Linked DNA regions of Kluyveromyces lactis. The protein of the gene in region 5 purifies or fractionates together with the protein of the main gene of each other region. This does not show direct contact. Links are inferred from orthologs where the notes say so. Each region holds a gene or a part of one and is shown on either strand. Other genes may lie near its edges.

Evidence for each region.
Region 1: the proteins of RTT102 (region 5) and SWI1 purify together in Saccharomyces cerevisiae (affinity purification with mass spectrometry; 4 studies listed by BioGRID). This does not show direct contact. The link is inferred for Kluyveromyces lactis from reciprocal best matches to the Saccharomyces cerevisiae genes RTT102 and SWI1.
Region 2: the proteins of RTT102 (region 5) and SWP82 purify together in Saccharomyces cerevisiae (affinity purification with mass spectrometry; 3 studies listed by BioGRID). This does not show direct contact. The link is inferred for Kluyveromyces lactis from reciprocal best matches to the Saccharomyces cerevisiae genes RTT102 and SWP82.
Region 3: the proteins of RTT102 (region 5) and RSC9 purify together in Saccharomyces cerevisiae (affinity purification with mass spectrometry, with the first as the bait; 3 studies listed by BioGRID). This does not show direct contact. The link is inferred for Kluyveromyces lactis from reciprocal best matches to the Saccharomyces cerevisiae genes RTT102 and RSC9.
Region 4: the proteins of RTT102 (region 5) and KLLA0_D06831g purify together in Saccharomyces cerevisiae (affinity purification with mass spectrometry; 5 studies listed by BioGRID). This does not show direct contact. The link is inferred for Kluyveromyces lactis from reciprocal best matches to the Saccharomyces cerevisiae genes RTT102 and TAF14.
Region 6: the proteins of RTT102 (region 5) and SNF2 purify together in Saccharomyces cerevisiae (affinity purification with mass spectrometry; 6 studies listed by BioGRID, with this or other methods). This does not show direct contact. The link is inferred for Kluyveromyces lactis from reciprocal best matches to the Saccharomyces cerevisiae genes RTT102 and SNF2.
Region 7: the proteins of RTT102 (region 5) and SNF5 purify together in Saccharomyces cerevisiae (affinity purification with mass spectrometry; 3 studies listed by BioGRID). This does not show direct contact. The link is inferred for Kluyveromyces lactis from reciprocal best matches to the Saccharomyces cerevisiae genes RTT102 and SNF5.

The regions. Positions count from the first base shown.
Region 1 is NC_006040.1:1,041,728-1,045,654, forward strand, and holds the start of SWI1 (Swi1p), read right to left. Parts: upstream 2,801-3,927; coding exon 1-2,800. Other genes in the region: snoRNP complex protein NOP56, read left to right, coding at 3,350-3,927. UniProt on the Saccharomyces cerevisiae protein: Involved in transcriptional activation. Component of the SWI/SNF complex, an ATP-dependent chromatin remodeling complex, which is required for the positive and negative regulation of gene expression of a large number of genes.
Region 2 is NC_006040.1:503,410-506,890, forward strand, and holds SWP82 (Swp82p), read right to left. Parts: upstream 2,034-3,481; coding exon 501-2,033; downstream 1-500. Other genes in the region: KLLA0_D05863g (uncharacterized protein), read left to right, coding at 1-410; KLLA0_D05907g (putative short-chain dehydrogenase/reductase), read right to left, coding at 2,417-3,298. UniProt on the Saccharomyces cerevisiae protein: Involved in transcriptional activation. Component of the SWI/SNF complex, an ATP-dependent chromatin remodeling complex, which is required for the positive and negative regulation of gene expression of a large number of genes.
Region 3 is NC_006040.1:880,842-884,343, forward strand, and holds RSC9 (Rsc9p), read left to right. Parts: upstream 1-1,307; coding exon 1,308-3,002; downstream 3,003-3,502. Other genes in the region: double-strand break repair enhancer MSC1, read right to left, coding at 1-65; RPM2 (ribonuclease P), read right to left, coding at 3,336-3,502.
Region 4 is NC_006040.1:588,334-591,032, reverse strand, and holds KLLA0_D06831g (uncharacterized protein), read left to right. Parts: upstream 1-1,320; coding exon 1,321-1,329; intron 1,330-1,437; coding exon 1,438-2,199; downstream 2,200-2,699. Other genes in the region: AIM41 (Aim41p), read left to right, coding at 255-812. UniProt on the Saccharomyces cerevisiae protein: Functions as a component of the DNA-binding general transcription factor complex TFIID, the RNA polymerase II associated general transcription factor complex TFIIF, and the chromatin-remodeling complex SWI/SNF.
Region 5 is NC_006037.1:881,489-883,771, reverse strand, and holds RTT102 (Rtt102p), read right to left. Parts: upstream 963-2,283; coding exon 501-962; downstream 1-500. Other genes in the region: RNH70 (Rnh70p), read left to right, coding at 1-305; TAF1 (histone acetyltransferase), read left to right, coding at 1,519-2,283. UniProt on the Saccharomyces cerevisiae protein: Probable component of the chromatin structure-remodeling complex (RSC) which is involved in transcription regulation and nucleosome positioning. RSC is responsible for the transfer of a histone octamer from a nucleosome core particle to naked DNA.
Region 6 is NC_006038.1:740,786-745,004, reverse strand, and holds the start of SNF2 (SWI/SNF catalytic subunit SNF2), read right to left. Parts: upstream 2,801-4,219; coding exon 1-2,800. UniProt on the Saccharomyces cerevisiae protein: Involved in transcriptional activation. Catalytic component of the SWI/SNF complex, an ATP-dependent chromatin-remodeling complex, which is required for the positive and negative regulation of gene expression of a large number of genes.
Region 7 is NC_006041.1:1,665,925-1,670,123, forward strand, and holds SNF5 (Snf5p), read right to left. Parts: upstream 2,801-4,199; coding exon 398-2,800; downstream 1-397. Other genes in the region: APM3 (Apm3p), read left to right, coding at 3,179-4,199. UniProt on the Saccharomyces cerevisiae protein: Involved in transcriptional activation. Component of the SWI/SNF complex, an ATP-dependent chromatin-remodeling complex, which is required for the positive and negative regulation of gene expression of a large number of genes.

The DNA.
Region 1 (3,927 bases), on a different chromosome or scaffold from region 5:
GCTGGCATATGTCATCATCGTCATTTTCTTCAGTGAAAACACCAGTTAATACTGACTTAAAATGTGCTCTATTTGGGTAACCAAGAGAAAGAAGTTTAGCCAAGACGTCCGCACCGTATGTCTGACATTTTTCAACATTCATGGTGTACTCTGCATATGTCAAGACGCTATTCTCTTGAATATGATCTTTCGGATCAGCGAAGCTCAACGCTAGCATTATGATTAACAAACAAGTTACTGTTGATTCAATTTTCAACATATGTGTAATATTAGATAGAATAAAAATCAAATCCTTCTTGAAGTTTAAAACCCTGCGCTCAAAAATAAACTCATCTCTATGAATGAAAACCATCCAAAGAGTATCTGCAATATATTTTTCCATGTGGTAATTATTAGCCATTACCTGTGAATTCTGTTCGTTAAATGAAAGATTTCTCAAGATCATTGAAATTGTTGTCAATTGGTCAACAATCAACAAGTGCGGATCCTCTGCTCCAGAACGGTGACACTTGCTAAAGATGGATCCGACTTCCGTTTTGACTTTAGTTAGAGAATCCATATATGAAATGAAATGTAGCTTTTTGATTTCATCGAGATTTTCGTCTTTCAACAAATCAGGTAAGTATTCAATATCATTCTCATCTTCGTCCTTCTCCAGTGAGACTTCAGGTAATGTCGCATCGACTTCTATTTCTGGTTCCGTCGGTGTGATCGGAAGTTGAGAAAAATCTATACCAGTTAAAGAGTCTACCTTTACTGTATATTCAGATTGATCTTCTCCAGATTTTTTGACGCTTTCCTTGAAAATTTTATCAATATGAGTATCAGAGGAATCCGAATGTTTGGGAGGCGTATTAATCCACTGCTGTTCATCATATTCAGTATAAGACCCTGATATCCTTGAATAATCCTTCTTCAATAGTTTATGCAGTAACTGACACGCCAAGATACAGAGGTTATCCAAAAGCTCACGACATTTATCGAGTGGAATTGATAAAGTGTTATCGGAGCTAATAACTAATAATGAGTTTAGTGCGGTATTGACTTCCGGGTTATTAGAACTTTGTAACTGCATTGCAATTGCATTGATATTGACGACACCAAACTCCGGCGCAAAGAGGAAGATGGGTTTAAAATTATGTATCATCTCACCAAGAGCTGAAATCTTTGAAATATCATACCCATTTTGCGTGGTGATGGCTCTTGTGGTGGGACTATAATGCCTGGCCATCGTTCTCTTATACACCTTCGGAAGCTTCTTAATTTGCTCTTCACGACGTTTCAAAATAATTTCCTGTTGTTTCTTCAATTGTTGTTCGAATATGAGCTTTTGCTGCTGCTGTTGTTGCTCCGCTTCTTGTTGTTGACGCTTTTGCAGCTCTTCCATTTGTTTTCTTTCCTGTTCTAGTTCTTTCTTAGTCTTCTTCTTCACTCTTGGCTTCTTAGGCTGTTTAGGTTTTGCTTGTTTTGGGACGGTGTTCTTTGTTTTGCCTTGAGCCTTAGGAATCTGTTGTTGCTTCATTTGTAAATCCGGTTGTATTACGTTTTGACCCTGCATAAAAGACTGATTTTGCACCTGCGGTTGGAACTGCGGTGTATTCGTTCTAATGTTTCTTATAATGTCCTGAAGTAATTGCTGTAACATGATACGATTGGTTTGAGTTTCTTTAATACCTTCTGGGGTCATCAAGTACTTTTCGTACGGTAGTAAATATCTGTAGTACGTCTTTGCCAATTCTTCTCCAGCATTTGGTCCTTGTATATTCATCTTTTTCGCCAATATGTGCCATTGTTGTGCTTTAGTGACGTTTTCTCCTCCGTTAAGCTTCTGAACATACATGTATAAGATGAAGAAACTGACCTGGGTACCATTAATCATTTGAGCAATATCTGCGGGTTGATTCTTTCTCCTGCAATGTTCCAAAAATGATTTTCTAAATAGTTCAAACTGTTTGGTGTTTAATTCCTGACCGACTTTCCGTTGAATGGCTGGATCTAGATTTTGTAGAACGTTTCTTTGGTTATTAGACTGATTCTGTACTTGAGGCGCATGTTGTTGCATTCTCGCCTGTGCTTGCGCTTGTGCTTGTATGTGCGCTTGAGCTTGGGCTTGAGCTTGAGCCTGTGCTTGTGCTTGTGCTTGGGCTTGAGCTTGAGCTTGTGCTTGAGCCTGTGCCTGCGCTTGAGCCTGTGCTTGTTGCTGCTGTTGTCTTAGTTTCTGCTGCTGTAATTGGTTGAATGCCTGCTGTTGTTGCAACATCTGTAGCTTTTGTTGCTGTTGCTGTTGCCTCTGTTGATGCGCAGCAATTATTGCGGCTCTATCCATATACTGAGGGCTCTGTCTACTAGCACTCGCCTGAGCTAAAGACTCATCGGCCATTGTAGGGGATCCACTTGGCACATTTTGCGGCGTTCCACGCTGCGATAACATCTGCTGTAAAGAAGTAGTGCCGGCGGGAGACTGCGTCGGTGCTACATTGGCTGTATTCATAGGAATTGGTCCTGCGGCTGGAGAAAACATGGATTGTGGAGAGATAGAGACTCCACCGTTCTTCATCGACGGAGGTGAATTGACAGTTGAGAATGAATTTCTAGCCAATATAGCCTGGGGCGTTACGCCTGCGTTAACATCTTCCATCGGCCCTAAATTACTATCAGGTATACCTTGCTGGTTGGGTGCGCCTGAGTTATCAAGGAAGGAAAGGTACTCATCACCGTTCGAACCTCCTTGACCGAAAAGCTGGCCATCGCCAGAATTCATTGGATCACTCTCGTCCGGGAACAAAAACTGATCGTCCATCCGTATGTACCAATAAAGTTACCGTTTGACCCTTGATATCAGGGGAGAGAAATCACGCCTAAATAAAACCTAAAACAAGGGAATTATATTCATTCTGAAAGTAGTGATAGTCAAGTGTCAATTGAATTCATTGAATACAATTTCGAGTTTCCTTTCGTTGTTTTGTTTTTGGAAAGACAAGAAAATTCCAGGTCACGTGATTTTGTCAATTATTCTATATCCGGGTAATACATTCGATCACGTGTATAACTTACCCGGCCGCGGCCGGGTAAGTAAAATATATTTCCCATTCTGCTTTTCTTTTTCAAGCTCATCGCTCTTTTTTTTTTGTTTGGAAAATTTTCATTTCGAAGCCAATAAAGAGAGATGAGCTTTCTGACCAGTGAATATATTGTATATTGTGTTATGTGCACAGCGATATTTCAATTAATACTTGTCTGTATTATCTTGAGTTTTGTTCATTCATTCCGAAGTTAGTGTGTGTTGAAGAGTCCAGATCAAAGAGATTTTACGGTAGCGAGGAAACTTTATTGATCAGAGAATTAAATAATGGCTCCTATTGAATATCTTTTGTTCGAAGAACCTACCGGGTATGGTATCTTCAAAGTGAAATTGCAACAGGATGATATCGGATCTCGTTTGAAGGAAGTCCAGCAACAGATCAATGATTTCGGCTCTTTCACTAAGTTAGTTGAGTTGGTTTCTTTTGCTCCTTTCAAAGGTGCTGCTCAAGCTTTGGAAAATGCTAATGATATTTCTGAAGGTTTAGTCTCTGAACATTTGAAAGCTTTGTTGGATTTAAATTTACCAAAGGGTTCTTCTAAGAAGACTGTTACTTTGGCTATTTCTGATAAGAACTTAGGTCCATCCATTAAAGAAGTTTTTCCATTTGTTGATTGTATTTCTAATGAGTTAGCTCAGGATTTGATTCGTGGTGTTAGATTACACGGTGACAAATTATTGAAAGATTTACAACCTGGTGATTTGGAAAGAGCTCAACTTGGTTTGGGTCATGCTTACTCTCGTGCTAAGGTTAAGTTCTCTGTTCAGAAAAACGATAACCATATCATTCAAGCCATTGCTCTCTTGGATCAATTGGATAAGGATATCAACACTTTTGCCATGAG
Region 2 (3,481 bases), on a different chromosome or scaffold from region 5:
AGAAATTGGATAAGATTGAGGGCAAGATATTAGCCAATGACATCAGCGTGATAAACGGTAAATTAATTGGCATCTTGGAAAATCAAGCAGCGCACTTGAGAAAGCTAGAATATCTATCAACTACTTTAGAAGTTATTGTGGCTTCAATGGGTAAAGAAGGTGAAGTAAATACAGAATCCTTCAAGGACCTCTTTGTTATGAATGATAAGTTGGAGCAATTACTTCAGGATCAAGCAAAGATTAGAGAGGCCACCAAACAAAGCATGGAAAATGCTGGAAATGGCGTTTCAGTTGACGAAATCGTCAAGAGACTCTTAATGTGGATTTTGCCTCTAATACTAATCGTTTTAGTTATGGCATACTACACTTTCAAAATTCGTCAAGACATTGTTAAAGTTAAATTGTTATAATGAATTATCCTCTATATATATCTGCAGCTTTATTGCATAGCTTTCTACTAGCAGTATTTAGTTCGATATAGATGAAGTTGCATTATTATTCTAAGGTTTTTCAACATAAGGTGGCCTAAACCCTGACACATTGGAGTATCCCAAAAAATTTGGATTCGGTACTCGCTTAACGGTACGCTTTTCATCTACATTCTTCGTTTCGTTTGGCACAATGCTCACATCAACATGGTTCAAAACTTGCTGTAGATATTGCTCTTTGTAATACGAAAGTTGATCCTCCGTAAGGCCAACAGGTGCACCGGCCTTATACTGCCAAAATTTAGTCCAACGGGTGTTTCTTAACTTTCGGACATGGCCAAGAGCTGTATTCAAATGAACAACATCATGGGATCGTTCTAAATCTTTTATTTGGTTTGGCGTCAATAGTTTTAACCTTGCAGGAAGTCTCGCCTTATTATATATCGGTAACCCTCCAGCACTGAAAGTTGTAGGTAACTCATCATTTGTTGTAACTGGTAGCTGCGTAAATTTCCATCCAGGAATTTGAGCCAACACATCTGTCTCCTCCGGGGGAACATAGTTAGCTTTACGTCCTCTACCAAAGTTATGAGATTCTACCGGGTGGGTGTGCGTTCCAATCGGGGAATCTAGAACATTGTGTTGTTGAGCAGCGGCGAAGGAATTCTTATAGTGGTATTTTGGAATTTTGTAAATAGTACTCAACTCGATTGCTCCATGTATAGTTTGACCCGATATGATTGCAGTTTGCTCACCATGAGCAATATTACTTAAGAACTCTTTACGTGCTTCTAAAGGCGGTAGTTCCGTAATGGTTGAAAACGGGTCTTCGAATTGCGGTTGTGATGTGGACATAACGCCCGCTTGTGCTTGCTTCGATTCAGGAAGCTCAGGTGGACCTAAAGAATGTGCTGTTCTAGTCCTTGGATCGATCGAACATACCATGTCGAGAAGTTTTTGAGAGAGTGCGTATACTCTGTGCTGCGCTTGGAAGCCCTGTTCTTTGGATAGTTGTTCCCAGTAATCATCTATCACTCTTGATCCGGATGCTAGTATAGCAGCTCCAAAGACAAGAAAAGCAGATCTAGCTGTGATATATGTTGCAGCAGTAGCACCTTCAGGTAAAAGTTTATACTGGGTCAAAAATTCGATAATATCATGTTTTGCATTAATTGGGTAAAGGTCTGGATGCTGAGCCAAAAACTCTTGTTGTTCCACATCTAGATTCAAGACTCTAATCAAATCCCGTACTAAGACGTACAAATTTTCCGAATTATTGTTTTCCGCACATGGATAAGTGAAAGTAGGAAACAAGTAATGCCTTTCTCCATGTAACCGTCCTTGTTTATCAACCTTCGTTTCCCCATTTTGATCACCCTTTCCCAAAACATAAGAGTCATTGTTGTCTGATAACCTTTCCTTAATGGTGAACGAAGGTAGTACAAGTTGCTTTGTTGGTGGCTTGTCAAGTCTGCCGGAGAGTAATTCAGGGTTATTGAGTATTGATAATGTGGTTTTCAAAATAAAAAGCTCATGGTTCTTTATGACATATTCTGGCACCGGATTCACCTGAGCAGTGACAGATGAGTTAGTACTGGAGTCCATTTTTCCAGCATGTGAAGATAAACAAATAAACGTATCCTGTTCAACAGCCAGAAAGGTCTCGTGGTGTTCCAAATATAATTAGGATGGATGAAAGTGTCGCAGCTTATACCGTCTATTGAATTCTTTCACGATGTACTTTGAAAGATATGCATATGTTTACGTTTATGTTAATGACAGGCATTCGATAGTTAGATTACATGTTGAAAAGACCCAATTTCAAAACAATGGAAAATACATAAAGATACTGATCACGTGATGACCAGCAACTGACACAGCAAATACCCGACAGTTAGGTTACATACAAACTAACGTATCTAAAATATAGGAATAAAACGGGATTCTTAGATAATAGTGCCGGTGGCTTCAGATGTTGGTAGTGTCATTCATTGAGCCAACTTAAGATTTGCAAGAAGTTCTTCTGAGGCCTTGATATAATTCCTGGCGTAATCATCAGTAAAATCTTTTGATGGAAGGATCGGGTTAGCATTCTTGTCAAACATGGCGCCTGAATGAGTTTCCAATTCTGGGGCAACTAGCAAGGGGCCTAACTTTTCAGCGTATTGCTCTGCAGTCTGATTTGTCATACCTATGAACCATTCTACCACTCTTGACTTCCAAGTGTCTTTACCAAGGTAATTATCTCTAATATTTGTCCTGATGAGCCCCGGATTCAACCCATAAAAATTGACAGTAGCAAACCTATTCTTAAAGTCCAAAACTAGAGCTTCATTACCGGCTACTGTTTTCATATGTGTGGAAATAGCTCCGTAAGATTCTTCTGAATTCAAATCTCTATAATCTCCCATATAGTTATCACCGGGGAAACCCATTACAAATACGCGAGGTTTTTTCTCACCATGTTCCTTCAATCTGGGTACCAAATGATTCATCATCACTAGTCGGCTGATATAACTGACGGCCAAATCTTCTTCTAGACCTTCGCTAGTCTCACGTCTCGCTGGAGGAGCCAAAACTCCCGTAGTGAAGATAAGAAGATCCAACTTTTCAGCAGGTAACAATTCCGCAACTCTGGATGCCTCTGACACCAAACCTAGGTCAGCCTGGATAAATTCAATACCTTCAACATTTTCGTCTCTGAACGTTCTACCAACAACGATGACTTTAGCACCCTTTTGTGCCAACACTCTTGCCAACTCACGGCCAATACCGCCCGTTCCTCCTACGATAGCAACATATTTATTATCTAAATTGAGTTCAATCAATTTTTGAGCCTTCGTATATACAATATCAGGATTGGTCTTCATGGTTGTTTGATGTAAGATTAGTCCGATGCAATTACAATAGATAGTTCCCCCTTGACTCTTGGTAATATTACTGTGCAAGCTGCATATCTGCAATCAACGTTGCACTAAGCTACCTTAAATAGTATCTATATATGATTTCTTCGACTTATTAGTTACGGCGGTGATCTTTTATCGACAATATGT
Region 3 (3,502 bases), on a different chromosome or scaffold from region 5:
AGATTGTTGCAAATAACTACTTGGCAAGCAGCTGCACAAAATATCAAAGCACTACTAAGCTTCATCCTGCGTATTAATATTGTTATTCTGTGTAATAAGCTATGTCAATAAATCTTATTAATAACAGACACTTTAAATGATATCCTATACAAATATACCTAAGCCTAAAAATGCCAGTTGTTAAGCAAGAGAAAGTGTTCCACGTTTGTTGATATATATATATATATATATATATATATAGAATGGGAATTGCCAGAACAAACTTCTAGTTGACAGTGACAATGCATCACACTAAGTTGTAAAAATCGATGGCCACACTTAGTTCCAAATAATAGCTCTACACACTTATAATAAGGGGTAGGGTGACATGGATATACTCACGCATGGTCTAGCCAAGCTCACAATAGCGTCAGTTATGATGTTCGCTAACCCGTTACCTTTTTCCCTTATTTTTTGGATTCTAAAGACGTCTTTTTGCTAATGTTAAAGAAATGACTTTTGCGGTTTGCTAATGGCAGCAAGAAACGATGCAAAAGGACGACTGTGTCTTAAAATTGCAGATGGCAATGCCACCATTTGTATTGTGCCTTAAGGTAAAAATTCTTCCGGACGCCGTGATGTGTGGAATTTGCTTTGATGTATGTATGAGTAAGTAATCAGATCAGATCACTGAGAGTGATAACTCTGGGGGAGTTAGGGTCTAGGAAACTAATTAGGTAATTAGAATGTGTTTGAATCAGGGCAGAAATGGAAAAGAAGGAAGAGAATCAATGGGTCGTTTGAGTCGATTTGATGTTGAGATTACACTGAATCATCGGTTGATGATCCGTTCCTTAGCGTGGAATTACCACTTTTCGGTCACATGATCAACGTCAATTGCCAGGGAGGTGAATTTAAACTCGTTGTTCCCATAACCATTTGAAAAGGACTTAGGCTGTCACAGAGGGGATAGTCAGTGTTCATAAAGAGGATAAACCTAACTGTCAGAACTATGATTAGAATCACTAAGCAACAGCATATAGTCTTTAATCTGTCCTTGTTACTATGTACGGAGAGCATTTATGTAATCATTTACCCGGATATAAGCCGTATTATTGAACTCGAAATTCAACAACATGCAAAACAACGAAAGATTCGAGATGGACTTCTTAATATGTACAATGACAGAAAAGGAAAACGCGACTAATTAGATGGAGCTTACTTTCTTTGTACCTATATCGGCGATCTAGATACCTTAAACACACCTTCTTTCGGAGACTCGCTTTTTTCTAGTTTTGTGTGATACCTAGTGCTTCACAAATCAATAGATGTCCAGCCATTCAGTCACTCCGGTGATCAATGCTGAAGGAGAAACAGCGATTCCAAGCTTGAAGACATTGCCCGCAACACAATTAAATATTAGCAGAGACCAGACCAATGGTATTACCGCTAAGCCTGTTGCTGGGTTGCAACAATCATTAGGCAGTTTGCCTATCTTCAATCATTTGCCTGTAAACTCTAAGATTGGTGTTGATGATCTCACCCGTATGAAGATGGCATTGTTAAGTGGAATAGACGAAGAAGTTAAATTTGCATTGAAAAGATATTTACGGTATAGCATTAACGCTTCTTATGTTATCAAATTGAATGAGAATTTGGATTTGTTGCCCATTATTATGCCCTTGATTACAGCATGCAGAGAATACATTCCACAGCTTGTTGGCCCAATTTCCAATCAGGCTTTTGAAGCCCTACAAAAAGGTTCAATTACAATGCTTCTTTTGAGAAATTTGGCACAGGACTCGGAAAACACTTCGATATTAGCCACCGATATGGAATTGAAATCGTTCATATTGTTCGTGTTGGAGTGGGCAAATACGTTCAATTCGAAGGATTCGGCAATCTATCAGTCACATACATCCAGTTTCAACGAATTGTTAATCTATACTCTTGATTTAATGGAGGCGATTTCATCTTATATTGCACCAGCAAAAAAAGACGATCTATATTTCCAAAACCTCTGTTTGATATTTCGTGATACAAAGGATAGATACTGCGTGATCTCAATTTTGAGATCATTATCTAGACTCTTGGTGAGATCTAAATCGGACCAAAAGAGTGCAGCAGATAATTTGGATGATAGTTTGTTGAACAAGATTGTTCATAACCTTTTAATTGATAGGGATGAAGAGTTAATAATTGCTTCATTAGATTTCCTTTATCAATATATATTACCTGGTCATCAGAGAATAAAGACATTACTATCACATAAGGAAAGATATGATATCCTAGTTAGTACTCTCCCTGTTCTCCTCACGTATCATGTATCAACCCCTGATTATCATGCCCTTTCGAATACTAATATCAAACTTATACAGAGGGTAAAACCTCAACCACCAGCACACGCGCCTGAATTGCCAATGCCACTGCTCAAGGAATTATTTGAGCTAAACGAACCAATGCGTGCCACTTCCTGGTTGAGATGCTGCTTTGAGAGATCTCTGAATGGCGAAGTAACACAGATTCTTCTATGGAAAACTTATGAACAAACATTCAGCGAACAAGTAAAACTAACAGATCGAAAATTGATAACTGCCGTTGATTTCATTAAAAATGTTTCGAATGCTTTGCCCGGTGCATCCGCTTTGGTAGTTGTAGATGAAGCAACGTCGAAGAAAAAATTTGTAATAAGAGGTATACAGCCTCGCAGAAAAGCTCTTTCAATCGTAGAGGCAAATAAAGATATTGACCAGTCCTCGCCTATACAGACTGAAACCCCGGATGAATTTGAAAGCAACAATACTCCATCGGAAGCAGTTCAAATTTGTTTGCCAGATATTGTTTTCCCCGAGAATCTTTCTGATGTATCTAAAGCAAGTGCGTCATTCCTTTCACTTGTTTCTAACGATAGTACCGAGATCGTGGCACAATTTATTCATGATATGAAACCTTTGATATTACATCAAATTGCTGACGTGCCACCTTTAAATACTGTTCTTTTGGACTTCATACATTCAGGTTGAACTTACCGTTAGGCCGATAGAGTAATTAAAGTTGTAGTTTTGTAATAATTAAATGTATAACGTATCGATTAAAGGTAAAAATTAAACAACGGGAGACCTAACTAATGTATAAAATTGAATTAAAAATGGTGAAACAAAATAAAAAATAGATGATAGCAATTCTGACAATATCAGAATTTTGTATCGAATGGATCAGCGTAAACCCATTTTTGTCATAATAATCGTAAAACTCATCAAATAATAAATAAATAAAACTTTCTTCATGAGACAGATTGTTCATGGAAAGTATGATAGAAGTATAGTAAGAATAAGGTAACATCAGCAGAAAGTTGTTTAGTGCATGGAAGAATCTATAATATCTTTGAAACTCTCCACTTTAGAATGATGATCAGATAAGCCTTCAGATTTGTAAATGGCAGAAATGGAATCTAAAAGTACCATTAGCGAGGTCTTGCTAACGTTAAAAGAACCATTATCATTGAAGTTTATAACCTTTACAG
Region 4 (2,699 bases), on a different chromosome or scaffold from region 5:
GTCAAATATCATAAGCCGTCTGGAACAAACTTAAAGAAAAGCGCGACTTGCACTGAATATTTTTTTTTACTTAACCGATCAACGGTAATAAAATTGCATCTTGATGATAATTTCTATGAAAATTCAAGTAACCCAAAAGACACCGGCACCTATGAACAAATACAAAGAAACGTTACATTTAATAGACCTTCTATAATCTTGATCGTTTGGTTCAATCTTCAAGACAAGCATCCAAATCATTAGCGAATACAAAGATGTTAAGATGTGTTATCCCAAGCGTTCGCGCTACTGCAACGACCAGAACCTTTGTTAGATTTGCCAGTTCTCAAGGCTACATTGATGGGATCGCTGCATTAAAACAAGACTTGAAGAAGGCAATGCTTGCAAAAGACAACCTAAGAAAGACAACCATTAGAGGTGTACTATCTACAATTAAGAACAAGGAAATTGACAGTAAGGATAAGGATCTAGATGAATTTGTATTGTATGATGTGTACGCCAAGTTAATCTCGCAAAGGAAGGACTCCATCGCTGAATTTGTTAAAAATAAGAGAGAAGATTTGGTAGAGAAAGAAGCCAATGAGATAAAGATCCTCGAGAATTATCAGACTGCCTTGCCTGTTGCTTCTAGGGAGGAAGTAGACGCTCGTGTTGTGCAGATTTTAACAGATCTAAAAGAATCAGAGCCATCTATACAATTGAAGCAGGTCTTCGGAAAAATTGACTGGAAAACACTACCAGGCGAATTGAAGGCATCTCCAGCTGCTATCAGGTCCAGTATTAGCTCTCAATTTAAGAAAGTGTTCCAATAAATCACCTAGCTAAAACCAAACTTGTACAGAGTCATTCATTAAAAAAAAAACTCCGATGAATGACGCCCTTGTGATTAAGTAGGCACATCAATCCCGTAAATAAATGTACTTACAATTATGCAATATCAAGCCGCAGCAATGGATTTGACTCACGTGAACAATTCTCTATCTAAAGACTTCTGATAAAGCCATGTTGTTCGCTAGGATGCTTTGCCAGATCACGTGATAAAACATAGTAACCAATACTCTCTGGTAACTACTAAGTGGGGAGAATATGGACATGATAGTCTTTTGCTCTCTCCACAATAGCATAATCGTAACTCTTGCATGCATCTTCAACTGCCTTCCTCCACCTTATTGTAGTACTTCCTCTAAATTTCACCAAACATTGAAAACATGAATTGACTAAATTTCAAATTCAGAGATAAATAATGGCAATTACAAGTACGAAAATATCCAGAAGAGAAACATTAGACGTGCTTATAACCCCCAATCAAATCAACCAACGATGGTGTCGGTATGTAATGATTAAAAAAGACTGAAAAGCTTCTTCAGTTCGTTTTTAGAAGGTTTCTTTTCACAATGAGTTTACTAACAGACCTTTTATTCAATATTTCGGAAACAGACTGTGAAGAGAACGGTCAGAATTAAGACCAAGCAATCTGTCCTACCGGATGTACCACCTCCAGTAGAAAACTTTCCTATGCGTCAATGGACCATTGAATTAGTTCTTTTGGATGAACAAGGAAACGAAATTCCAGCCACGATATTTGATAAGGTAGTGTATCATTTGCATCCAACTTTTGCAAACCCTCATAGAACATTCACGGAACCTCCTTTTAGAATTGAAGAACAAGGCTGGGGTGGCTTTGAATTGTTGATAAGTGCGCATCTTCTTGAGAAAGGGGGCGAGAAGAAGATAACTCACGACCTACATTTCATGAAAGATGCCTATGAAATTGATCATGTAATCCAAGTTCCTACCAATAAGCCTCTTCTAAGAGCAGAACTAGAGAAAAGTGGACCTGTCGATGAAGTAGCATCAACAGCAGCAGCAACTCCAAATGCAACAGCGACAGCTGCCACCACTCCAGGTGACAAGAGAAAAGCATCTACTGTCAATGGTGATGTAAAAACGAAAAAAGCCAAGACCGCCTCCGCTTCAACAGTGAAAGGCTCTGTGAACTTGGAAAAGTTAGCATTTGGCTTAACAAAACTAAACGAGGATACATTGGTTGGAGTAGTACAAATGATAACTGATAACAAAACTCCAGAAATGAATATTACGAACAATATCGAAGAAGGTGAGTTCGTTATTGATTTATATAGCTTGCCTGAAAGTCTATTGAAGAGTTTATGGGAATACGTCAAGAAAAACACCGAGTAACCGGACCTCTCACATGTTTATCTAATTTAACCATTACAATTATGTAGTTGTATTTTATAACTTACATCTCCACTAACAGGCACTGCTTGCAGAAAAAGTACCAAATGAACACTATAATGAATAGACAAATCAAGCCTAGGGAAAATTGCACTGAAATATTTGATTGAATTCGCCCTTGGACTTGACTTTAATTATTGTCGACCTCCTACCGATGAGCTTATCTCTGAAAAAAATAATAGTTTGAATCAAATTCTACATGATAGCATATCACAATACTCCATTATGTTTTACTATTGTTGTAGCACAACGGTCCGCAAGCCGTCGATAGAAAACTGTATTGGCATCAAGTCAACACTTAACATAATGGAAAAAGATTTTGTAATGGTATGTTTTAATCTAATATTGCCATAACGTTTGTCACTAGCAGCATTGTCACTAACAAGTGGTTGTTTACAAACATATCAGCCTTACGTTCCTCGAACAATAAGAGTCAAAACTCA
Region 5 (2,283 bases):
CCGCATGCAATAACCGTGACACTGAAGTTCTAACTGAGGAGCTAGCATTGGAAAACATGGGGAAAAGAATTACAAAGATCTATGAAAATCTACCTTCATCAGCTATGCTACTAATCTGTTCAGGTACTGGTGATACAAGAGAATGGATCAAAATAATGAGTGAGTTGAACAAACTTGATAAGGAAGACCGTGCAGTGGAAAAATCCAAACGTGAAGCAGAAATACAGGCTTCGATTAAAACCGCTCGCGATGCCATCTCATTTATGACTATCAAAACCAACAACGTGAATAATGAAAGCCAATAGTTTTATATAGTAATGTCTCAAACGCACACATACGTCCTATGTGGAGAACAAAAGCGGTGATGGTTTTTCCTGCTTGCCCTCCTTTGGATGAAGGACTGTCTTTATCTTATTCGAGAGTGGGCGTCCAGGCCACATTCTGGATTCCATGAATCGTAGTAAAATTACAGTATATAGGTGTAATCGTTATATAATGAATCATTCCATCTTTACGTCGCCTTCTTGGTCTTTTACCTCTGCCGGTGTATCTTCAGCCGGAGTTTCTTCCGCTGGAGTTTCAACCACAGGAGTTTCAACAGCAGCTTCACTCTCGGCTTCTTTCTTAGCATCCGATCCTGAGAACCCAGGAATGTCAGAACCACCAACAGCTCCTCTTATATCGTTAATTGAGAGTGAATCTGGGCCACTTTTCTCCTGGACACGAGCATTTTTCTTAGCTATCTTCGTCCTATCAAATTCATCTAAGTTAAGAACATCTGTATCATCCTCAACTACATCTCTCAAAGGATGATCTTTTTTTACCCATTGCTTGAACTTATATTTTACCTTCTCATCAGTACCATTTTCATTTTGTTTAGCAGTAGTGGACCATTCGTATTCCCAATGCTTTGCATCGGTCGTGAAACCTCCAAGACGATTTGCCCTACTTATCAAAGACATTCTCACTTTCTGTTAAGTATATGGCTCAGTGTGTAAATTTGCTGAAATAATTGGCCGAGTTAGTCGATCTAACACCTAAAAGATTGTCGCATTGTACCTTTAGATCTCTGCTCGCACTGTTAAGCTTTAAGCTCTTGATGTTTGGCTTTAATTTCATGTTGGCAGAATTATCAACAAAAATTGACCTTAAATGGGATAAAATGGTCGATTAATAGGTCAGCGAACCACTTATTGAAACGAAAAGCCAGTAAATGAGATGAGTGCATGCTACACATTGCATATAACCTTGTTAATTCGAGTGAAGTGGCCAATCTGGGCCATGATAGTGGTTTATGTTACATGGATTGCACTGAAATTACGTTACCCGGTCTCTGGATTGATCCCTCAATATCAAAATCTAAACAAAGTTGAAGAGCTGATATGTACATTTCAGTAAAGAGTGCTCGAAGTCATAAAAAGGGTGGTTAAATAGGTTCATTCAACTCTGTGAGCCAATATTTCTGTCAATAACAGAATTCTAATCTGATTCCAGTCATAATACACCCATTTTTGCGAAATGCCTAGGGTTGCTGGAAGCTCAGGAAGCAAGAAACAAGGCAAGGCAAAGAAGGATTTCAGCAATGAAGATGATGCGTATAACGCTCTATTTGGTGGTGAGTTTGGGGCATTAGATATTAGTAATTATACTAGTGGTGGCGGCAATGGTAAGCAAGATGAAACAGAGCATCTGCCGAATGCTATTGATTTTGAAGATGAAGATGAATTGGCAGATGAAGAATTACCGGAGGAAGAAGAGCCATCCCATTCTCCGAACAGGCATAATGAAGGGTCGTTTCAGCGGAGTCTGACTGAAGACGACGAATATATGACTCTGATGGACCATGGTGATGTGATGCATGAAGTTGACGCTGCTGGATTTGAAGTACAAGGTAATAATGCATTGTTCATGGAGAGCACATATCAGTCATTTGGTCCAGAACAACACCAATTTAACGAATATGATGAGCAACACAGGAGGTTAATGGAGGAACAGCGAAGGAAACAAGAGGAACAAAATGCGAAGGAAGAACAGTTATTATTTCAGTCTTATTTCCCTGAGCTAAAGCCGGGTAGAGTCCTAAGAATGACCAAGATAGCTCCAAAACCGTTGGCGAAGTATCAATGGCAAAGGGAGTTATACCTTCGAAACAGAATTTTAAAACCTCTCATACCCATTAAAGTGAAGTTTCAAGTTCAAAAGGATACAAAAAAATTGTTCAAGATGAGGAGTAAAAGCGTAAAGCCTTGGCAAAGTGCTATAAGCGAGTTCTCTGAAGTTCAA
Region 6 (4,219 bases), on a different chromosome or scaffold from region 5:
CACTCATCTTACATTTCAAAACCTTTTCTACTTTATCAGGAAGATCTTTTTCAACATCTTTCTTTAAACGACGAAGCAAGAAAGGTCTGAGTACCTTATGTAATCTTCTAATGACCAATAAAGTTTCTTCTTCGCTCAATGCTATCTTGTCTTGACCACCAGTGTTTGCAAACGGTGTATTGAACCATTCATCGAAAGATTTCACAGAATTGAAAATTTTTGGCAAAACGAAGTTTAAAAGGGCCCATAGTTCTGGCAAATTATTCTGTAAAGGGGTACCAGTCAAAATCAAACGATAATCAGAATGATAATATGTGTTCAAAGTTAAAGAAAGCTTAGATTGAGCGTTCTTCATTCTGTGACCCTCATCAATAATTGTGTGAACCCATTTTATCTTAGAAAGTAATGGACGCTCTTTGATAATATATTCGAAGGTTGTTAACACTACATCAAATTCACGATTTTTGATTAACGCTTGTTTAGGTTTACGTTCCATTGGAGGACCCTTGAAAGCTATCTTCCGCAACTTAGGTGCCCATTTATCAAACTCTGCATTCCAGTTGGTCAAAGTGGATAACGGAACAATAACTAAAAATGGACCATGGACCCCCTTAGCTTCGTACAAGTAGGTTAAAAGAGAAATTGTTTGAATAGTTTTACCTAGACCCATTTCGTCTGCTAAGATACCGTTCAAGTGGTTATTGAAAAGAGACACCATCCACTGTAGACCTTTCAATTGATATTCTTTCAAAGTACCACCTACAAGGATGGATGGTTGTTGTTTCACTTCTTCCTTGATACTATGAGCAACTTCATAATAATCGATTCTCTCACGTTCCAAGTCATCATCAGAGTCTGCTCCGTTTTTATCACCCACGTTGTCTTCGCTAAGTTCCTGAGTGTCAAGGTGAGATTCGATCTTATCTTTAGTGAAAGACTGTTGATCCTTAACAGCTTTGGTTAAAGAATCCAAGAAAGTGTTAGTCTGTTTCAACAAATGCGTAATTCTTGTGTCCTTTGTCTGATCCAACAACTTAATATATGCTTCTTCATCGTTAGCTTTCAATGCTTGCAAACGTTGTTTGGCATTTCTTTCAATTCTTTTCAATTCTTCTTTTTCCAAGTTCGTGTGTAAGTTTATCAACCTGTGACCTAACTTAACACGCTGAGCTTTTTTATCTATTCTCAAATCATGTATCGATTTACAACGGTCCAAGATTGAATTCAATTTAGAAGATTTTTCAAGTTGTTGTTTTTCGTACTGTTGTAATTCTCGTGATTTAAACAATTCTCTAGTCAACAAAGCATCTTGAATGTTTAAACCACGATTTTTGGATAAAAAGTTAGGATGAATATTAGTGAGAAGTGTGCTTTGATACCATTCAAATGACAATACATAACCTCTAATAGCTTTTTGTAAAGGAAGTAACTGCATTGCATTATAGTCCATAATCAATTCCCCTTTATCCTTTACTTGAGAATCTGATTCTAATAGTTGTTGCAAACAAAAATCCAGTGATGTATCTAAATCCAAAGCGATGAGAGTTTGGTAAGTTTCCATAGCAGACCTTGGATCCAGACCAACGGGTAACAGACTGGGGGTGATAGAAAGATTTTGTTGGTTAAGAAGATCCGTATAACTAATTGGTGGTACCAACGGTGTGGAGCCTGGAATGCCGCCTTGTTCTGGGTACGAGAAACAATCCACCATAATATGCGGTGAAGCTACGTCGATGTACTTTTCTATATCTTCATGTTGCTTCTTGTATGTGGATAAAAGAGCGGGAGGTTCTTGTTTTGGGGGGTCCTGGTCCGGAATAGGAGGAGAAATAGGGCGCGAAGGTTCCACCATTGGGGACTGAACTGCCATAGGAGTGGGTTCTGACGTCACTATAGGAGAAGCTGGGTTTATATTTGCCGTGGTATTTACCAGTTGAGCAGGCATGTTATTTTGTACAAGTGGTTGCGAAGCTGCTGCTACTGGTGATTCCACCTTACCCTTTTTGGGTTGACGAACCTTCTGTACTGGTTTCTTCACGCCTTGGCGTACCTGAGGCGAAAGCTTCTGCTGCGGTACATTATTCTGTTGTTGTTGTTGTTGTTGTTGTTGTTGTACTGGAGGTTGCATCTGCTGGCCAGCATTATGAGCTTGTAAATCGGCACTCAACGCCAGTAGAATGGATTTGAAATCCAGTAAATTGGTCAAAGACCGATCAATGACCATCATAATCTCTGGTGGTACGACCATGTGGTTAGCCATCATCTTAAGAGATTGGATCTGTGCCTTCAACAAGAGCGACTGTTCATCTGTGAACAAAGACCGTGATGATGACGCGTTATTATTATTATTATTATTATTAGAATTAGAATTAGAATTAGAATTGGTGCTAGCTGGCGTATTCACTCCTACTGTTAGACCAGAAGCCGGCGCGATCGGCTGAGGTCCTACCTGTGGTGACATATGTGGTGGTGGTACCGCTGTTGCTGCTACAGGGCCCATACCATTACTGCCAGGGGTATAAGCAGACGGAGTCGGTATGTTATTCGGCGAAGCCGAACTAGCTGCTGCTGCTGTTGTTGCATTCTGCAATTGCTGCTGCTGCTGTTGTTGTTGTTGTTGTTGTTGTCGCTGCTGCTGTTGTCTGGCAGCCATCCTCAACACAGCCGTATAGTACTGGTACTCCTTCATAGACTCGACATTCGCACCATGTTCGTTACGAAGCTGCTGCCACCGCAGGTAGCAACGATTAATCTCTTCACGCGTATATTCCCTCCTGGGAGGACTGAACTCTAAATCCATTGCCAAAACAGGCCTATCGCAACACTAATACTAATACTATTACCAGTAATAAAAACGCTTGTCACTAGCAAAGAGAGCAAAGCAATTCTTAATTCAAGCCGAAGCTAAAGGATAAACAAAAAACAGAAAAAGTACTGCTTAGCCGCCGACGATATGGCACTGCAGACTATCCGAAAAGTAAAATACCAACCGAAGGAAGTTACCTTAAACACACGCAAAGCCTGTATGCACAACGGTTCTGTTGTTTTCTGTGTTTATTTCCCTTCTCCGTTTCCGTTTACTAAAGTTATTTTGTTTATGTTTTACAGCGTAACACAAAAAAAAATTTTTTTTTTGTGTAAATTATTCGCTTTTGTAATCATGCTTTCTGTGTGAATTTTGACTGGCACTGGGGCTTAAAACATGGGTTTAAAGCACACTTTAAGGCAAGTTTAAGACATACGTTTGAGGCGTTAAGAGTATGTCGGGATGGAACTGGACAATAGCTGCGGAATATACAAGATGACGTGCTGCATGTGTGTATATAAGATACATAGATATGGATATACATTTTAGGGATGTGCGCAGTACATGCAAGTGTACAGTGGAATCTGATATGGATTGAATGGATATAGTGACAGACCCCCCCCCCCCCCATCCCATTCGTCTTGTGAGAAATTAAGTGAAACAAGAAAGGCACAGAGAGTGAATTAGAGACTGAGGTAAGACTAAGTATGACTTGCTGCTATGCTGATTCTGTGCCGGGCCTTAGATGCATAGGAAGTAACGTGTGGATACCTCTTTTTTTTATTTCTGCTTATTCTTTCTTTCCACCGATTCTATCACTTCTCTGTTCTATTTCTACATCATTTGTTGCCCTGTGCAACTAGGCTTTTGATTTCTGATCGTTCACTAGTGCAGGCAGTAGTGTGACTAGTAGAGTAGATTAAATACTCATTCTCCGTCTCTCTCGGAACTGAACACATCGGTAGGGGGGTTTTTGCTATGTTACGTTATATGTTATGTAGCTGTACCAGATAGGAAATGGAAGAGAAGGAAGGGGAAATTGGAAATTAGAGAATGGTCTTTGAAAAGAAAAGCTGCCTTTCTCTGTGTTAATCTCATGTTCTATGTATGTGTACGAGGTTATTTGCCCCACTCATTTGGCAAAAGCTAATTCCAATTTTTTTTTTTTACGTTGACAAGATACATGACCGTATTTGATTGCGGAATTAGACGGGATCAAAACTGGTTAGTTAAGTAATCAATTCTGTTCTATTCTCTATCAATCCGACAGTAGTACTTTTTTTTCCTAATTACCATATCATAAGATGTCGAGGTGAAATTAAGTTGTGCTTCTCTTTCTCTCTCTCTTTTTTTTTTTTTTTTTTTTCTTTTGCGACCACCAGGAACGGTTCTAAAACAGGACTTAGTTAACCC
Region 7 (4,199 bases), on a different chromosome or scaffold from region 5:
CGCCGCGTAGATAATCTCAGTAAACTCTACTACCCTCGAGTAACACTCAAATATGGCTGCTTTGATGAGTTTGTGGCCTCTGCATACCAAGTTTCTTAAAAGGGTTGGTTCGTTCAAATGTTAACGTTTCCATTACTAAATATATTTTTTGGTTTTGAGCTGTTTATGAAATTTAGAGGCTTACACCATAAAGAATGAAACAGGCACACATAAATATCGATATACGTAGAGGTGCGTGTCAAGACCCTCGAGTAAGCCCGCGATCATCGGCGTTCGGTCTCTCATAGCTATCTTCAGTGCTCTTTCTTCTAGCTTATTTATCATAGTATTTCTTAAAATTGTTACAGGTGGTACCACATAAATACATATGTACATATATATATATATAGCGAATTACTCATTGAATGGTTGTCTTCGCCTTTGGTAGCTTTATAGTGACGAGTAAAGATTTCCCAACGTCGTGCATAATAACTCTGCATGCTGATGAGTTTCTTACTTCCTGTTGGAATTCTTGTTTTGGAGTTGCTTTAGCTCTGTCTAAATATTCGACTCTAGTTGATGGCTGGAACGATAACGTACTTGGACCAACATCAATACCTCCAGGCAAAGTTGTTGTTGGAAGTAGTTGACGGCACGTTTTTGGGATATCCCCAAGATCAGGAAGTTCTGCATCATGGGGTAGTTGCGGTGTACTTCCGGACGATGGGTGATTTTCTGTATTGCCTCTTCTATTGAAACGAACTTGTCTACGTTTCCTTCTAGTGTCTCTGTCCTTATCCTTAACCAAACGTTCTAGTTCTGCGGGAGATATCTGTAATAAGTTAGGTGTGTATAAAAACGTATCCTTTTGTGGTCTCATTACGTCTGCTAAGGTGAGTACAGGCAAGAATCTTGTTCTGATATCGTCTTCTTCAACGGGGCTACCGTCAAATTTGTAACCAACCATATATAATGACTTGTGATACATGTGAACTTGTTCTCTAATGCAATGTGCAATTGCTGTTAAGAATTCACCCGGAAGGGATAGTTCTTCGCATAAACACTCCGCGAACGATTCTGGACAATTATCTGGATTTGACACATCCCATTCAACGGTATCTATCAATTGATGTTGTCCAACGACAATATCTAGGTTGATTTTTATTCTGAAATCATCGCCCCCGAACCTCTGCACATTTTCAAAAGGATTTGGAGTATATTCTTGAAGTTGTTCTTTGATACTATTCACAATCTGTTGATACATCTCCGTGGTGACTTTGAGCCTATAATCCTTCAGCGTTGTTTTCACAAATTCGTTGATTGACAGTAGCGTGTCTGATCTGTTCCATACGAATGTGTCCCTCAAAGTAAATTTATCCTTTTCTGCATCAAACTCTAATCTAACAGGTACTAGTTCCTCCCCTGTTTGATTCATTGTCCATTCATATATTTCGTCCAAGTGCATTTCATAAGTGTCATCGACTTGAATCCTTGTGAGATCGTTACTGAAGCCATTTCCATATCCAGAATAACCGTCACCCCATATACTCTTAGATTTATGTCCTTGAGTTGTGTTGGTAATGGATTGCATTCGACTGTTCCTCAATTCTTTGTAATAATCAAGATCTTGCTGTAATCTCAATATTACCTCCCTCTGACTGAATCCGAATTTGGAAATAGGTTCCAATCCATTAGTGTCCGCCAACAAGTTGTCCTTATCCAACAAATCCCGTTCAATAACATGTTCATATAATCTTGTATCAAAACTCACAGGCTCGTTATCAGCTCTTTCTTTCTCTGACCATAACCTAGTATGAGGTAATGGAGTCTCAGGTGGGTCTTGAAGAATAGTTTGGAATTTGGGAATATCAGGAAGTTGTTTCTGAAACTTCTGAAGCACTTGCTGTAGTATTGCAGCTTGTGATGGTTGAGGTGGCTGTGGTACTGAAACTGGGACTTGTTGTTGTTGTTGTCGTTGTGGTGGTTGTCGTTGTGGTGGTTGTGGTGGTTGTGATTGTGGCTGTTGTGACGAAGGAACCATCGATTGATTACTGTTCATAACTGGTATATTCTGAGTTATAGGTTGACCTCCAATCATTTGTTGTGGATTCCCCATTTGTTGCTGAAGTGGTATACGAGGTTTCTGAGGTTGAGGCTGTTGAAGCTGCGGTTGGTTAGGAGGAATAATGTTGCGTGGCGGGGATTGATGTTGTTGCTGCTGAACAGGTTGTTGTGGTGGTACAGGCTGTTGTTGCTGTTGCTGTTGCTGTCTATGTTGTTGCTGTAATTTGACTTCAAGCTGAGTGATCATCAGAAGAGCGTTCTGGTTATTTCTCGCAATAGCCTGTTGTTTGATGGACTGAAGCCATTGCATTTGCAATGCCGGTGATAGTTGTGCAATTTGTGGAGGAAGATTCAAAGAAGTTCGTTGTTGAGATTGGGGAGGAGACTGCTGCTGTTGCTGTTGAACCTGCTGTTGTTGCAATTGCTGGGCTTGTTGCACCTGCTGAGCTCGTTGCTCCTGTTGCTGCTGCGTCTGAGATCTCTGCATTTGTTGTTGTTTGAGCTTCATTAGCTGCGCACGCTGAGCAGCATCCAATTGGTTCATATTACCGGGAGAAGAAACCTGTTCTTGCTGCATCTGCTGTGCTTGTCTTTGTCTCTGCAATAACAACTGTTGATGTTTCTGCTGAATCATCTGCAACTGCGCTGGCGTCAAGGATTGTAGGATATGTTGTGGAACCTGCGAAAGCGAAAAGGAAGGCGTCCCTATGTTACTCAAAGGGTTCGCATTGCCAGGATTCATTGGTGGGTTTGACATTCTCCTTTCAGCTTATATAGAGAAACAAAACTGCAACTAGTGTTTTCAATTGCAGACAGAAAGGGAAACACAGAAGGAAACTAGTATATTCTTTCTTGCGATAATTCTCAACCAAATGCTGTCAAATATACCCTTTCTGAAGCCTACCTGAAAGGTGTTCAGTTCCCTTAAAAACAAGAATTTCTTGTTGATCTTTAAAGTTTGTTGTTGGTCTTGTTCTTTCGTTCTTTGAATTCATGAAATTCACGAAATTTTGATTAACGATTAAGAGAAGTACGAGATGGAACAACCTAATGAAAAATTAAGGCAAGCAAACAGGATACAGCGGGTTATCCGCATATAGTTGGTTATCATAGTGAACTTAAGCAATTGGCTACAATGATTGTTAGCATATATGTCAATGATAGGTGCCAGGAAACGCTATTCCAGTACTCAACAGTAGCAGAGTGCCCTACTTTTCGGCAACTAGTTGTTAAACTACAAGGTAAAGACGAATCATGGGAGTCTAAATACTGCAATGAGATAAATTCTGAGTTGAAGCTTTGCAGACACGTTTCTTTGCTGAATCCAGTTGTTTATTGGTGTTTAATTTCGTGTTCAGAGTCCACAGTTTCCGTGGTATCTTTGTTAGAAGAGATAGATTTACTGTTGTTACAATATTTCGATAAGGACCAATTAACGAAGCAGAAGATAAATAATAACCTCGATCGATTATCGATGCTTTTCCATTGTATCCTTGATGCTGGGCAACCGGTGATAACAGACTCGAACCGTTTAAAGGCAATGGTCCCAAGTAGAAACGATTTATCGAAATTGTTGAAGACGACAACCAATACAATTACCAAGACCTTACAACAACCGGACGGGTCAATGTTTAAGAATGGTCCGGAAAAATCAAGGTTTAGTGGCAGTAGATATCCATCTTCATCCGCTTCATCCGTTTCCTCGTTCCACGTTGGGTCTCCTGGCTCCTCGTTAGTTGATCATTCCGTTGATGAATCTGGTGTCCCATGGAGAATGAGCGGCATCAACTATGCTAATAACGAAATATTCATCGATATGAGTGAGGAAATTAACGCTATTGTGGAAAAGGGGAAACTGTTAACCGGACATATCAAGGGTTGTATCGACTTAAACAACCATCTCAGCGGACAGCCATTGGTTGAGATGAAACTTGGGCTCTTAGACCACAAGCTTAGCCACTTAAACACGACTTTCCATAGATGCATCTTAGAGGATAAGGCGAACAGCATAAATGATTTAATCGCTGGGAAATTCACTAAGCTAACGTTTGTACCTCCTGATGGACGTACTAGGCTCTGTCAATATACCCTACCGTTGGTGAAAAGAGACTCAAACCTCGGCATTATAGACGTAAATTTACAAAGCAGTTTAGGTA